Drosophila melanogaster: one gene and its partners. The protein of the gene in region 3 interacts with the protein of the main gene of each other region in a pairwise test. Each region holds a gene or a part of one and is shown on either strand. Other genes may lie near its edges.

Evidence for each region. Proteins that work in one complex are often made in the same cells at the same time.
Region 1: the proteins of Tim17b2 (region 3) and ksh interact in a two-hybrid assay, tested with the Drosophila melanogaster proteins (one large-scale study listed by BioGRID).
Region 2: the proteins of Tim17b2 (region 3) and CG15449 interact in a two-hybrid assay, tested with the Drosophila melanogaster proteins (one large-scale study listed by BioGRID).

The regions. Positions count from the first base shown.
Region 1 is NC_004354.4:19,492,345-19,496,940, forward strand, and holds ksh (kish), read right to left. Parts: upstream 2,649-4,596; 5' UTR 2,559-2,648; coding exon 2,556-2,558; intron 2,493-2,555; coding exon 2,383-2,492; intron 2,308-2,382; coding exon 2,202-2,307; 3' UTR 2,076-2,201; downstream 1-2,075. Other genes in the region: ND-18 (NADH dehydrogenase (ubiquinone) 18 kDa subunit), read left to right, coding at 193-242, 333-653, 713-893; CG12204 (uncharacterized protein), read right to left, coding at 1,064-2,035.
Region 2 is NC_004354.4:21,037,439-21,042,579, forward strand, and holds CG15449 (uncharacterized protein), read right to left. Parts: upstream 3,168-5,141; 5' UTR 3,001-3,167; coding exon 2,947-3,000; exon of another isoform or gene 2,722-2,946; coding exon 2,598-2,721; exon of another isoform or gene 2,577-2,597; intron 2,509-2,576; exon of another isoform or gene 2,496-2,508; coding exon 2,278-2,495; 3' UTR 2,076-2,277; downstream 1-2,075. Other genes in the region: Ntf-2 (nuclear transport factor-2), read left to right, coding at 1,308-1,421.
Region 3 is NT_033779.5:15,481,385-15,487,542, reverse strand, and holds Tim17b2 (translocase inner membrane 17), read right to left. Parts: upstream 2,815-6,158; 5' UTR 2,707-2,814; coding exon 2,176-2,706; 3' UTR 1,998-2,175; downstream 1-1,997.

The sequences.
Region 1 (4,596 bases), on a different chromosome or scaffold from region 3:
CTATTGTGGCATCGCATCCAAGGCGAGGGGCCACACTGTTTCCAATTAGAATAAAAACACTCACCGCTCGCCTGGTCACACTGGCACTGGCGAACAGCTGTTTTCCCAATCGAAAAGCGCTTGTGTTCCAAATTTTACGTAATTCGTATTTTGAAGCCGATTTCTGCCGTGTAGCCCCAAACGCCTAGCGAAATGTCGGCCCTCCGCCAAGTGATGTGCAGAAGCACCGCCTCCCTGCAGCTGTAGGTACCCCCGCCTGGCCGGAGCAAGTGCATCCGACCTGGCAAATCTGCAGCCCTCTAATTATCCACTTTCGCATCTTGACACCGCAGGTACCAGGCCAACAGGGCAGCCGCTGCCCGCTGGGCATCCACCGCCACGGACGGCGGTCCGCTGGACCCCAAGACGGCCCTGGCCCGCCCCGAAGAGCTGGAGCAGCGCAACAAGCTGAGTGGCAAGATCACCGTGCCGACTGCCGTCAATCTCAGCCCGATCAGCGGCGTTCCGGAGGAGCACATTCGGGAGCGCCGTGTGCGCATCCATATTCCGCCCAAGAACGCAATGCAGAGCGGCACCGATAACGTGAACACCTGGCAAATCGAGTTCGACAACCGCGAGCGCTGGGAGAATCCGCTCATGGGCTGGGCCTCCAGGTGAGTAGCTGGCACGTCCACCATGCCATGGCAACCTTGGTCAACGTCTCGTGTTCCAGCGGCGACCCATTGTCCAACATGAACGTGCAGTTCGGATCCCCAGAGGAGGCCATCACGTTCTGCGAACGGAACGGATGGCGCTGGTACGTCGACGGCGCCGCGAAGCCCAAGAAGGAGCGCGTCAAGAACTACGGCATCAACTTTGCCTGGAACAAGCGCACGCGCGTCTCCACCAAGTAGACGCTCCCCGCAGCTAGCCAGGATTATAGACCACAATTATCTGATTTTTTTTTTGCTTTGTTCATTATCTGAGTACCCAAATAAACAGTCGGCTGGACTCAAATGACCACAGCACCATGTAATGGCCACCAGTTTCGCTGCCAATGGAAGCGGCACCATCACATGCCGCTCTAATGACGAGCGGTTTGGGAGCGATGCCTATTGTGCTGCTTCTCGCGTGGCTCTCGCTCCTCCCGACGCCTATCGCCATGTCGATGCCTGCTCGGACTGCGGCTTCTCTTCCGGCTGTCATCATGATGCTGGTACCAATCTCTGCGCTCGTTGCGCCAGTCCCGATGCTCTTGTCGCTGTCCTCGGTCCTTGTGCTCCTTAAAACGATCCATTTGGTCGTTATGCCGCCCTCTGTCCTCCTGGTACCGCTGCCTGTGCTGCGTTTGCTCGTTGTGCCGCCATTGGTGCTCCTGAAACCGCTCCGCTGGCTTATCGCGTCGTCCCTTGTGATCCTGTTGCCGCTCCGTTTGCGTCCTTTGCTGGGATTGCTCAACATACCGTCCGCGGTGCTCCTGTCGGTCGACTTGCTTATGATGCCGCCCGCCGTGCTCCTGTTCCCACTGCTTCTCCAGCGCCTGCATCTGCAGGCTGACTAGCTGGTGCAGCTCCTCGTTGAGCGTGGGCTTGCTCTTGCGGTGGCGCCGATGATTCTTTTGCTGACGCCGGGTTTCGCCCACCACCTCGGCGAAGGCGGTGTTGTCCTGGAACTGCGGGTGCTTCTTGGTGTGCTTTAGAACGTGCTCGTAGATGAGCAGCCGCTGACTCGCGTCGAGTCCTGCCTGCAGATCATCAAAGGAGGCAGCAGGAAGGAGGCGTCGTGCTCTTTCGGTGCCCACAATGCCCTGAATAGTCGAGTCATCGAGCTGGATGCTAAAGTCGGGATTGTTGCTGCATGACGCCGGCAATGGCAATGGCTCTAACACCTCCGATTTAGTTGCGCCGTTTTTGTCCTGTGGTCTGTGGCTACCCGCCCCCATCACCCCGCGCTCGCTCCAACCGAAGCGCTGCAGGATGACGTGGAGACGCCTCCTGCTGGCTGTCACAAAAAGACGCAGCTGTTCTCGCTTCTCGTCCACATCTTCGCCAGACATTTTTAGCCAGCGCGAAACAGAACAGAACAGAACAGCAAGTGTTGGGAAAGCCCGAAATGTGCGGCCAGTGCTGCAGAACGCAGCGTGTATTTACAGTCCTAGAAAGTTTGGAATATCTAATCTATGGTGCCATTCGGCTCCTGGAGGGGATGCGGGATGCAGGAGCTCAGCTCCAAAAGAGAACGGTGAAGGCCATGATCAGGCAGGCGGCTCCTACCCACGGCGACTTGCGCTCCCCAATCCTTGCCAGCTTCCAGAAGGTGCCCATGAATCTGCAAACAGACAGCAGACGAGTGTTGAGTGTGGTAACAATCAGTGGACTGGTCAGGGCGGGAACGGGCACCTACCCGGTCTTGTTGCGGTCTATCAAGCTGGGGAAGAGCGAGCGCAGGTAGGCACAGGTGCAGATCAGCAGCAGGATGACCGACAGCAGGCTGTGGAAGTTGAACAGGGCGCTCTGTGGAGGGAAACGGTGCTAAGTGTACGACGGAGGAGTATCGGTTAGGTGAGCGTTTCAAACCATGATTTAGCAAATCGAAATCCGTGCTTGGCGATAGAATAACAACAAGCGGTAAACTAGTGACGTGCCAGCCGCTCGGCGCAGGCGAACTGGTTCCAAAACTGGAATCTCACGTTTCGACTGATTCGATAGGTGGTTAATCAACTGTTAGAATGATAAGGAATGTTACAATGTTTAGGAGTTAATATAAGAATATATTTATATTAAATACATATTTTGGCGACCTACTTCCATTATCTGGGATGGACATTGGATAAATATTTTACAATAGAAAGTAACAAGCTCTTAGCCAAGTTCCCACAGGGAGCATAAAAACGCCATAGGAAGTATTGAAAAGTGCAAGAGTTTACAAAAGACATCGTATACAAAAAAACGTAAGCTTAATTTCGATAGTATCGGAACTTGTATTGCAATCCAACCGTGGGTCAAGTAAATGAAATAAGATAAGACTTTGTTTCAATTAACGTTGGCAGTGGAGCTTCCCCCAATTGAAATATGTGCCAATGGAATCGGGCTATTAGGTCAAGTGAATTCAATCGACTGGCGCGGAACAGCAATCGATGGGTCCACACTTATCGCACATAGTATCGCATAAACATCGACGCAGTGGGCCACCTCTAGCAATTTGTCTGCAACTTCTAATTCGCTGCGGGTATTTTTTTTGTGTTTGTTGTTACATATAATCCGATCAATTTCGATCGCCCGCTTGGCAAATCAGTGTCTTGCTGTTCCGATTGGTGAGCTTTGGCCAATTCTCGGCGAGCGTCAGTAAATCGTTCGATTTGGCTTTAAGTCCGCCCGTGCTTTTGCGTTTTCCTTGGCTCTTTTCTTCATTTTTGTGGCCCGTTTTCGTTTTCCACTTGGTATCGCGAGGGGATGAAGGAGGGGAGCAGGAGCGGAGAATCCCGACCGAGTGCATCCCCAATGTGTGTGCGTGTACGTCTGTGAATACGATGGTGCTGCCAATGCAATTGTAACTGAGCGCGCTCATAAAAATCAAAAGTATATTTAGATATACATGTACATATATATAATAATCGGATACGTTTTCTCATTGCCCCCCCTGTCGGTGTGTGTGCGTGTGTATTTAAATCAGTAATACAGTGTGTGTGTGACGAGCGCGCTGGGTTTTGTTGTTAAGTGCGAGTGAGTAAGAGAGAGGGAACACGAGCGAGACAGCAGCCGGAGCAACAGAGAGGCAAACAGGAACTGCAACAAGAAAAACAATAACATTCTGTGGCAGCAGCAGCAGCGATGACTTCCAGTCGCTGCACTGGCAAAGCGGTAAGTTCCCGACTGCAATATTAAGCTAAGCTATGATCCGCGAATCGGTTCCTTGCATGTGTATTTATGTAAGTACACACACACACCCGCACGCGCGCCAAACACACGCACTTGCGTGTATCGTTGACGTCGGCGATTACAGCACTGTTAGCTGCTAACAGCACAGTGACGGCCACTCGCATAGATCCGCGCCAAAGTTATCGGAGTGCCCCACTCGAGGGGCGGTAAATCGTGAGTGAAAAGTGTAAAATACAAACAGTATATGCTCTTTTAACCCCACCCCCAATTTTAAAGTGCTACGGTTTAAAGTGCTGCGAACCGGAGGTGAGTTGCATTATTATATCCTCTTCCAGTGCTTTCATGACACATTCACCCATGGACCTACACCCGCGAACACCAAAACACTACGCACATGCGCAGAGCGGCCACCGACACCGATAACACACCAATGCAATGCAAAAAAGTCGCGCTCTAGTGTGCGCTCTTTATTTTTGTTTTTAGTTTCGCTCCACTCTGCCTTCTGTATTCATCGGGTGCATTTATTGTTATCGGTTTCTCTTCCAGCAAAGTCGGTAATCGCTGCGTGTGCCTCGATTCGTAAACGGTAAACAAGCAATATTTTGTTTTTCATGCTGATTATCATGTTGATGAATGAAGGAGCATTTACGCAATTGTTTTGTGAATTTTCCGCTGTACACTGAAAGATTCTCTTTGTGGTTTCTCCATCTCCCTCGCTCTCTCTCGCTGGCCGATGGCC
Region 2 (5,141 bases), on a different chromosome or scaffold from region 3:
TCACTTAAGATATGAAATCATTCATCATTCTTCCGTAAAGTCGTAAGGGCAGTGCTATTTGCCGACCGCCGCTGCATCTATTATTCCATATAAGTCACCTGAATCTGAATCGAATATCTCAATTCTGGTTATTACAAAACGAAACACAAATGCCAAAACAAACCAATGCAGACCGACGAGGATCAGCCGCATGCCTATATTCAGACCTTCGTATTGAAGCCGGTGGGCGGCAGTTTCTTTGTGCAGCACGATATATTCCGACTCTCGCTGCACGATGTGTAGCACCAGCGAGCCCGACCTGCCACGCCCAGTCCACAGACTCCAGCGCCCGGCTATATGTGTGTAAATCGAGATCGAGATCAGCAGCCAAACGATCAGCCAGCAGACACGAGACGAGAGCCAGTTAAAAAACGAAAGAAATCCATATCTAAGCGATAAGATAGTTCTGCTGCTTGTCGACCTTATGCCGCCCAGCCATGCCCACTCCGCCCACATATACAAAAATATTTATCCTTGGCGTCTCGTCGTCGTCCAATTTCTTCTAATTATTCTCACAGTACGTGAATGTCCAACGAAAATTAATCAAATCAAAATGTTGCGCATTTCATTTCGTGCATGGTTTTCGTTGATTTTGAGTTGGATTTGCTCTTTCTTTCGGTTGGTCGCTGGGGACCTGGAACCTCCTAATAATGCAATTTTAATGTAACACAAACAATTTCTGTAACCTCTATTGCTTTACATTTTTAACTAAACGGTTTATATTTATATTATATTTTTAGATGCTTTCAATTGATATTGCACTTATAAAAATTCTGTTTTTCATTTGTTACAAAACCAAATACCAATTGACTAGTCTTAACTTGCATATTGTTTTGTTCAATAGCTCGAAGAAGAGAACTGTAAATATCCCAAATTGTTAAGCGCACCCTAATATGCCTTAAAAAAAAAACTTTCAAATGTTGTTCAATTTTGAATGGAACTGAGGAAAGTTTTGAGAAGTTCTTATATCAGTGAATAATAATTTTGCTCGCACATTTGGTATAAAGTTTATTCTGCTCGTGAAAATGTTTTGGAGTTATGTTCAATTTATCGAGCGAGCCCTGTACAGTAAACACGCACCTTACACGATCAATCGGCTGCCAGTTGTACACCCTTTCCCTCTGACCCTGGCTTCAAACTGTGTGTACTCCATTCATATCTAACTCAATACGTTGAAATTGGTTTTTCGCACGCTTGTGTTATTGACTTTAAATGTGACTGGTTTGCCTGGCATCTGCTAACGTATTTATGATTTCATTCCTTTGCAGTGCGATGACGATCCCCCACATGCCTTCTCGCAGGTCTTTTTCCTGAAGGCCAACGCAGGCACCTTCTTTGTGGCCCACGACATCTTCCGTCTCAACATCCACAACTCTGCCTAGGAGCACTCCACTTACCTACGTATGCACACCACTCAGCACCACACATAATCGACATCCAAAGATGCCCAGCGCCAGATGATAACAACAAGCTCGGCAGTGGAACTCAGAAAAAAAAAATATAACAAAGCCAGCCAGCGGTCTCACGATTATCAGCAAATACAAAAGTTAGAAAAAGAAAAAAAAAAAAAAAACAATAAAAAAATAAGAAAATAACGCTAACTACTATTACGATGTCAACAAAATGGGCCGCCAGCTCACCTTCATTTGTGTCCCATTGTTGCCGGTACTCTCGCTTTACGATCCACGGAACCCTAGAATTATATGTTCTGCGAACACCTGGATCTCGCGATCTAATTTAGCTAGGACTATCGAATTTGGTGGTATGTGCCGTGCTACAAGCTCGTATTTCGAATTCCCGTGAAATGAGCAGGAACAGCAGGCCGGGATCATCGCCTACATAAGTTTAGAGTGATTTTCTAGACCGTTTATATTTCCAATTGAATTATTTGTACTTTAATTATGAGGATTATTTTAGATAGCCGTATTGCAAATGTATTGTGTCGAGTGTCTCGCTCTGTAAACAATTACTTGAGTACCGGGACTGCACCACACACAGTCGCAAGTATCGACTCTTGCTTTCTCATATGACTAATTGAGCGATGGCGAATTACTTTTTATTGAGAGAAAAAAAAAACACTTAAATATAAAGATAAACGTTAACAGTTTGGTTGTTTGTATGATTGGCGGAATGGCCAGTTGAACCGGAAAGATATGTATACCCTTATAAGCTATTAAATGCATACGAAAGAAGCTCCAGCGGATCTGGCCAGTGGTTTCCGTCTAAAAACTGAACGATTCACTTGTCGCGAAATGTGAACACCGCATCGAATCCGAATAGCACCCCATTGACGATGGACAGCGAGGCCTTGATGAGCGCGAGATCCCGAGTTCGGGTGCGGAAGGAGAACTCCCAGGCCTCAATGATGAACACACCGCTGGCCACGAACAAGGTGCAGCCCAGGACGCTGAAGAATATATCGATGCGCTTGTGAATGGGTGCCCGCATCAGAACGCCTGCAATTGCAAGGTATCTTAAGTAGATTTGTGTGCAAATTTCGTTTTTGGTTAACTTATTTTAGTATTTTAACTCTTAAGGACTGGCATTCCAAGGCGTACCTGCAAAGACCCCGATGACCACTATGATGTAGCCCGTGAAGGTGCCAGTGGCCAGGAACGAAGTCATTATATCGCGATCGTTGAAGCTGTAGAAGTGGAGCACCAGACACGCTACCGCAAAACCCTGGAAAAGTGAGGGGATTTTCATTTGTGGTGCTTCTTGGTGTTCTTATAATTTCCGAGTCTATCTGGTATTTCGGGTCTTTTCTTTTAATTCCCAAGTCGTTTTTTTTTTTTTTTTTTTTTTTTTTGACAAACCATTGTTTAGTAAGCATACGCGTTGCTTTTTGCATTAATTCATTAATCCTTAGAACTTGCAGTAAAATCACTTGAAAAAAAAATCCTTTACCAGTTCGAGAAACTTGACCACATTGAGGCGGCCTTTTCGCTCGCCATGAGACATTTTGTGAAACTGCTGCCGCTGACAGTCCTCGAAAATGTGGTCCAGCTTGAAAATGTACGTGTCGCAACTCAAGAAAGTTCCAAAGTTCTTCCGATTGGCCTCTTTGGAGCGTGCTCGCGACGGCAGAGCGCTGGACAAACTGATTCTGATTCGGAAATGGATGACGGATGGCAGGCAAATGCGGCTGCAGTTTGCAGTTGGGCGCAGTCGGGCCCAGCCAGCGAAATTAATTAATTACACTTAGGAAATAGGCTTTTCATTCTTGTTCCCATCCCTGTGTATCCGCCCACGTCCACCACGTCCGCCGGGCCTCTCGGTTCCATCTCTGAAGTGGAGACCGTCTGCGTTCTCCGCTGCCAGCTGCACTCGAGCCCCATCCCTTCCAGCTTGATTGAGTGGAGCATAATGTCTGTATCTGCATGCATGCTCTGTGCCGGTGGGTGGCCAGTGGACAGTGGGCAGCCGCCCAATGGACTCGGACTCATTGTGCTCGCATTGCCATTACCCCAAATTTGCTGCCTAACCTTCGGGGCCCAAGATCGGAGCTAATTCGCGGAATCGGGGCCAACGGGTCGCCAATTTTCCGATGGTAATCAAGTGGATAATGGAAAACATATCGCCGGGGAAATCACTTCCTCAAATCATGAATAATCTTATGGACTTCATGGGAATTATTAGGTTGTAAGGTTGTGTTGCAACGCTTTTCAGATATAAAAGTGGATTTGTAATGCATGGAATATATTTTTTAATATATTACAAGTACTGTACTTTTTAAGTGCAATTAAAAGCTTAGAGCAACATAAAAAGTAAGCCGAATTTTATATACCCTTCACCTATAGTAACTTAGCTACCACTAGCTTGGACGACTACAGTCGTCCTGTTTTAATAAAATGTATTTTATTTCTATTTATTTTTCCTGTATTTTTTACGAACGTTAAACTGCAAATCCCATTCCGCTCGCTCCTAGTTCAGCTAAATTATATAGTTTATATAAAATTAGATTAGTAATTACATTTCCGACCCGGCCTGTTATTGCCTTATCTAATACCTGCAATAGGTTTAATAGTTTAAGTAAATACGATTACGTGGAAATAAACAGACACGGTAAGATTTAGTTGGGTGTCAATTCTGACTAAAAATATATATCTAAGTAATATATACTTTGTTCCTGACTAAAACAATAACACTTCCTGTGTTCTATGGTCAATTTGAAAACATGCAAAATAAGTTGTTACAGCTGAACAAATCTATTTTTAATTTTTAAATTAGTTCTCTATAGAGTGTTTATGCCACATGTTGAACCTATTTATCTTAACTTAACATCAACTGCTTTATTAATTTCAAAACCTAACCATTAAAATAAATATATGTTTTTAGAATAATTTCGGCTGGTAGCAAGCAGAAGTACATATACGATTATTTATTATCAAAAGCCCAGCTTATCAGTTTGAAGGCAACTTTTGATATGATTCAACGCAGACACAGGTGCGCATTGAAACTATATTTAGACCTTCTTATCGCTTCAATGTTTTGATTAATCCGTATTTTCTGTTTCAATTTTGAAAATGCATTTTTCAAGACCTTACTACCAGAACGAAATCCAATTGAGCTTTGGCAAGCTTTTTGTTTCAGCAATTTTACGGTAATTAGCAGCAATTCCCATGCTATTGTAGTTCTATTAAAAGTTAATCGCCAGCACTTTACAGTGACAGCAAAACTAGTTATACTAGTTGCGAACTATGATCGAAAATGATACCCCACCGAGCTACATGGTTACAAGACTAAGAATTTTTCAGGTACAACTTTCACTGAAATATAGAACTCCGAAAATAATGCATTGTAAGAGAATACAAGAAAAATTATTCAGCATGTTGATAAATTCAAATTAAATAGAAGAAAACATTTTCCGAACTACCTAATCTATATAATCAATCATAAAACCCGAAACAAAATCGGAATTTAAAGAACAAGATTCACTCAAATCGATATACCCAACCTACAAGGTATCAACTGCTTCTGTTTTCAAACCCAACCCGATTGCAACCGATGTCAGTATGCAAGTGCACCTGCAGCTATCAAAATGCTTAACCCCGAACTCATGTCGCTGGAGAACCAGGTGTTCCGATGCTACCTGGGATGGT
Region 3 (6,158 bases):
AGGCAAGGTTTTCTGGGGGCTGGAGCCTAATTTATTCACCTAGCAGTAGCTTTTTAGGAATTCTAAAATCAAGTCGCGTAATAAATGCATTGGTCTGCCTGCAGACTTGTCCCAGTCCCAATTAAAATGTGTGTCATATATGCATGAGATTTTTGGCGCCTGATTTTGGGAATACCAAATTCAACGGGCACTCCAGTGAAATGCAAATATTCTAATGCATAGAGCTTGAAAGGTGCCAGAAAGTCGGAAATATGCCTTTAATGCGCCTCGCCTCAATTTGAATGCGGTTCAACGATTGACATTGACATGTGCCAAGGCTAGCATCAGATCAACATATCTGTTATCATCGGTCGGTCTCAAGATGAATTGAAGGTATATGCCACGCAGAAAAATATTCTTGTTCATATCTGGAAACGAATATTAAAATTTCGTTCGTTAGGGATTTTAAGATTGGCAGCTTTATTAAATTTGTTTTCACAAACCAAGATTTTATCCTTTAAATATATTTCGCTGTGAAATTTCTTGAATTTTCTATTAGCCTCAACATCCCTGATAAATGGCTCGCGTTTAGCGCCATGCGGGCGCAGCATGCGAAAAATCTTCCATTTGGGTTGATTTCTCGCATTGAGGTGTTTTGTTGGTCAACGCCAAACATGTGCTTGCCACATGCCCCGTTTCGGACCCATTTTCAATACCAAACTCAAGCCTGTCCAGGCGAAGGTGTGAACTATTTGGCCTGGTGCCTTATCTACACTTAGAAAAATATTGACATAAAATGGATTTTTGAACGGTGTTAAACAAAACGGTGTTTGTTTTAAACAAAATACTTCAAAATTCGTAAAATACGATTATCGTTAAAACCCATCGTAACCATTTAAATATACCCTTTCATACCATTTACATACTTAATTATTTAAAATAGAAGAGGTTCAACATATATTTTCCGTTTTCCAAACTAGTTGACATTTTTTGCGGTGTAACTGTGATAGCTGTGTACCTTCAAAGTCCCATGTGCCAGTCTCTCTCACCTTGGTCCTACCTTCGACTTCGCTGGGCTCTCCGTTTTCCCATGAGGGAGTTCTCCTGGCCCGCTCACATATGTCGGAACTCCAACTGCGGAGCTGGGAAAACAAACAGGACTGGCGGTACTGGTTACACATGTGTGAGCTGGCCGGACCGGAGCACGTACTATGCGCGTAGGTGCGACTCCTTGGATTCCCCAGTTCTCCAGTTCCCACACATCCTGGCCGGGCCACATGATGATGTTGCTGTGCTTTTCCCGTAGCGCCAGGCGTGTCCAAATGTTTTGTTGCGGAATTCCTCAAGGCGAGGAATCTCGCACACATTACGAGTAGTCGGCGCTCGCGGAAAAAAAACACACGAGCCAAAGTTACATATGTTCTTTGGGCCATTTATTCAAGAAATTTCCATGTCGGCCGAAAAGGGATTTCCTTGTAGGCGGCGTTTTCCCACGATTTTATAACTGGGCTCGACTTCCCATCTTCCCACCGTCCATGTGTTGCTGGGAAATCGGCGTTGCCTTTGGTTTTTTGCCTTGCGGGGGAAAAGTTCTGATTTGAGTGCGCTCGAGACTTTCCAGCTAGGAGCAGGACATGTGGCCGGTAGCCAGTGCCACTCAGTACCTCACTCAGTCTAATGGCCAGAACACCGCGGTCATCTCGAGTGGACAGGTTGTAAAGTGGCCACACCCGCCGACCGGACACTTGACTCTATGCGCCGGCGCAGCATCGCAGGTAGTCATCTGGAACAGGTAAACATTTGCCAATATCTCACGCTGACCTATGACACGTGTCAGGTGTCTTTGTCGTGGATTCGGGCAAGTGTGAAACAACCTACTACCTGTTGAGGCAATAATGATTATGAATACGAATGAATTAACACGGAGAACGATAAGAGGGCCAATTGCATTTGTTCCTTCTTCCAAAACGAGCTGCAAACGGCAGCTAATTGTATTTTAATAATTATAAATCCGTGTTAAATTGTTTGAAATTTAATAAATTGGTTCCTTTGCAAAAACAGCTTAAATGGAAATACTGCAATTTTGTCCATATTTTATTGTCATCGAATTTTTCAAATGGAATATTGCTAAATCTAGCACTTATGAAAATCAAAAAGGACTACGTATTAATATACCCAGACAAGAAAAATCGGAATTTAGCTAGTTGCAGTGGCCTGCTGAGCACCCGGAAATCCAAATCCGGAAGAGTTGAAGTCACCGTATCCTTCATTGGCATCAGGCATGATATGCGGTTCACGATTTCGGAACTGTTCCGCCGCGAAACGTGTAAAAAATATGCCTAAGCCCTCGATCATTGAGAGCAGTACGCCACCGATAATTGCACTTCCAGCCATGGCCGCCGCTCCATTGCGTGAGGCCAGAATTCCACCAGTAACTGCTCCGCTCACTATCGAGTTCCAGGGATCCTCCTTTTGGCGAAAGTGGACCAGACTGCAGTCCACAATGCTGAACACTGCACCCCAGGCGGCGAAACTTCCACCTATCACCGGAGATTTGGTCTTGATGGCAGCCACACTGCCGGCGACCCTGCGTCCTAGTCCCTGTGGTGCGTTCCGGAATCCCTTGAGTCCCTGGAAGAGCCCGCCTCCAACGCAGCCCATGATAAAGGCTCCTCCGCAGTCGTCGACGATGCGATGGGGACACGGTTCCCGCGAATACTCCTCCATCTTTGCACTTTTCCACTGGCAGGATTTCCTATCACTGGCCGAAATTAAAAACTGAATTTGCTAAATTTCAAGCCTTCTGCTTATTTTCTACAAATGAGTTATATGTGACTTGGCGTCGCTCGATATGTATAAGGAAATTATGAGTTTTGTGTCTGTCAATTCCAGAGTTTGTTGTGAATTGTGCGACTAAGCTTGCTACATACCTAGTAGATTTAAAATCATGGAGAACATGTCCAGGAACTCAAATTTCAAACTACAGGTTGTAAGTAAGAAGTACTTGGTTTTGTTTGTGCCCCCACCAGACACCCATTAGCATATGAACCAGAGTCAGAGCAAACAGAGTCGCACGTGGATCGGGGATCTTTTGCCCCGAAGCTCAATGGCACAAAAAGGTTAAATAGCACAAATGTCGGACCGTAGTTAACCATAAAATTTACTGCCGCAGCTGGACAACTTCGGCTCGAGAATGGGGAGGGGACGGGGGATTGGGATTCGGATTGGGATGGGGATGGGGCCATTCGAAAGACGCAATTCGTACAAAGGCAAAGCCAGACGGTGGGAAACGGAAACAATGAGACCGATTGTCGTCGACCGATAAAGCCAAGCCGAACCAAACCAGAACTCCAGACCCAATACTATTTTATACTGCGTATGTCAAACTACTTCAGGAGGGAAGCTTACGATTGCATGCATAATTATCACGCGAGCATAATCGAAATTTTGAAACTGCCGCAACTGTGTTTGCTTAGCTCGAAAAAGGGGGAAGTCTTCGCATTCGGGCCCTCGATGGATATCTCCGCATAACAAGGTGTCAGACAGCAGTGACAAATGAAAGCGAAACCCCGATCGAAACCGAAATCGATGGGCAGGCATTTAAGTATGAGGGGACACCTGGACACACACGAAGCGCCAGTCCATTGTTCAACAGGACAAATCTCGTCAACTTGACATGTAAATCGTTAGAACGTGTTGCACTCGATTGATTGCTCTCACTCCCGAGAAGGTTATCGGGGATCATTTGACGGGAAATGGCTGCAGGATAAGACATTATATATAATTTGTAAATGTAAATACTGGGCATATTGTTTGCCACTGCTGCGGGATTTCCAATGAAATCTTCATTTCCACGGTAATTGTTGTCGCTTATAAATGATTTAGATGGGATTAGATCGATGTGGTGTTAATGTGGGCACATTATGCGAAAGGATTGGCCATTCCGTTCTAGGACGCGATCCGACCATGGGTTTCCCACGAATTCCGGAGATTCGAGCCTTACAGTTTTCTGGGAAGTCACAGGCCAAATGGAATTGGCCTACTAGCCCATTTAGTAATTTTATTAACATTATTTGTTGTTAAAATACCAACGTATTATGTGAAATTAAAAAAACTGCAGTTGTCTTTGGATACAGAACAATTTAAAACCATATTCAAAATTTTAAGAACAGCATTCTACAACTGTAAATCGAGCTCCACAATGTACGCTACAGAAATGCAGGTTTGGTAATCTATTGTGGCAATGTTTTTTAAAACAATAATGATTATGTAAACAGTAAAAACTCAAAAATTATAATATCGAACAGATATGATCTCTAAAACGGTTCCGTTTTCCATCTTCCGATCTCCGAATGCTCCGTTAGAGGCCAGTGTTTGGGCAGCTGTGATGCAACATTTTGTTATATCTTAAGGAATATGCATCTGCATAACCCACTACAAAGGGAATCCAGAACGGAACTCATTTGCCCGCTCGAAGAGAATCCCTGCACATGCCAAAACGCCAGCCAGAACAAAGGGGGCGAAACAATTGCGGTTGCATTACCCCAGCAGTCCAATTCAAATTCCGACAGCCTCCAGCCGGGCAATGAAATTCAAAAATTCAAAATCAAAGGGCAGGCCTGAGTCGACAAAGGATGTGACTCAGGTAGGACCCCGGGCCTGCCGCCAAAAAAAAAAAAGAAATGCTGAAAAATCTCGAATGGTGCACTATTGTTGTGTCCTGTGCCCTGACTGTGATTACTCGTATTCCGATGTCGATCATAAATGCGGTAGTTTAATGCACTCTAAGAAACCAGTATTTGCTTTAAGTACAAAATAAAATTCGTAGAACCGACTGACTTAAAAAAAAGTATAATGAATTTGAAATCTTAGCTTAAGAAATCTTCTAGAAATTTAATAAGCCTAGCTAAGCTCATTTTAAAGTGTCCTATTCCGTGTGTATAATATATGGGAGTAGTAATACTACTTAACACTACAATTTGTAGAAAAATACTATACTTAGATATGCAAACATTTTTATTAACTAGAATTGTTTGCAATTTTGCCATACTTTTTTGCCTGGTGTACTCGCCAAATTCCCCATCTCTGCACTCAGCATTGTACGCCCGCAGATGCAAGTCAACGTCCGAATCAAGTCTCGATTTTTTGGGCTGAGGGCAAACAGATGCACATCTTGCCAAAAACCAAAACCCAAGAGCTGAAAACGAAAAACCCAAGCCGATGGCCCAAGACGAAGACGCGCCAAAGGAGAAGAATCCTGGGCTGAGCTGCAGCTGTCAATGCCAAGCCACCAACGCGCCACCCTCGAGTTGACATTATTTCCAGCACCGATTTGTGCTGATTCCTGATTTCAAAATGCTCCTGCCTGCCCGCAGGCGCAGATGCGATATCCTCTGGGTTTCCTTGGTGCATTGTTGTTGTCCGTTCACCCGTCCGCCCGGTGCAATGATTTTTTCTTAACGGCTCCTTGTCTGCTTTGTGTTTGTGCGGGTTTTTTTTTTTTTTTGCTCTGCACAAGGAGCATCTAAGGTCCTGCCAAAAAGGTGTTGGAAATCTTGTTAATAGGGGAGTTTGTTTCATCGGCCTGACCTGGCATAACGTGGTGGGCGTCTGGCAAAGGAGATAAGATGTCCCATATATTTAGGGATAAAGTAATATAAAAAACCACTGGTTGAATGAGAAACTTCTTAGTCTGATAATTCCATTTTTCCCTAACTCAACTATATGTAATTAACTTAATCAAAATAATAACAAAATGAATTTATTGGGATATGTTTTATTATTTTTATATATATGTAGAAGAAAGTATAATTCGGTTAAGCACAAAATGGTGGCTCTCCTTTTCGGAAGCGTTTCCAAGCGGAAATCACTATAATCATTAGTGAATAATCACATTCAACCCCTGTAGTAAATTTCACCAGACAAAAAACTCTCCCTTTTTTTATGTAGTCCGTAATCACCGCAACAGAGTTAAATAATATTTACACACTTCATTTAGGAGACACGTGTAATAGGCTAAACAGAGTGTTTAGTGTGGCCAATAAGCAGGACACACGCGATGTCCCCTAATCAGCTTAGTCGCCGTAGCATAATGGAACGTTGGGGGCAGCGATGACGACAGGACACTGACAACAGGATCTGTAATGTCGGCACTGAATTGACAGGATAACGAACCGTGA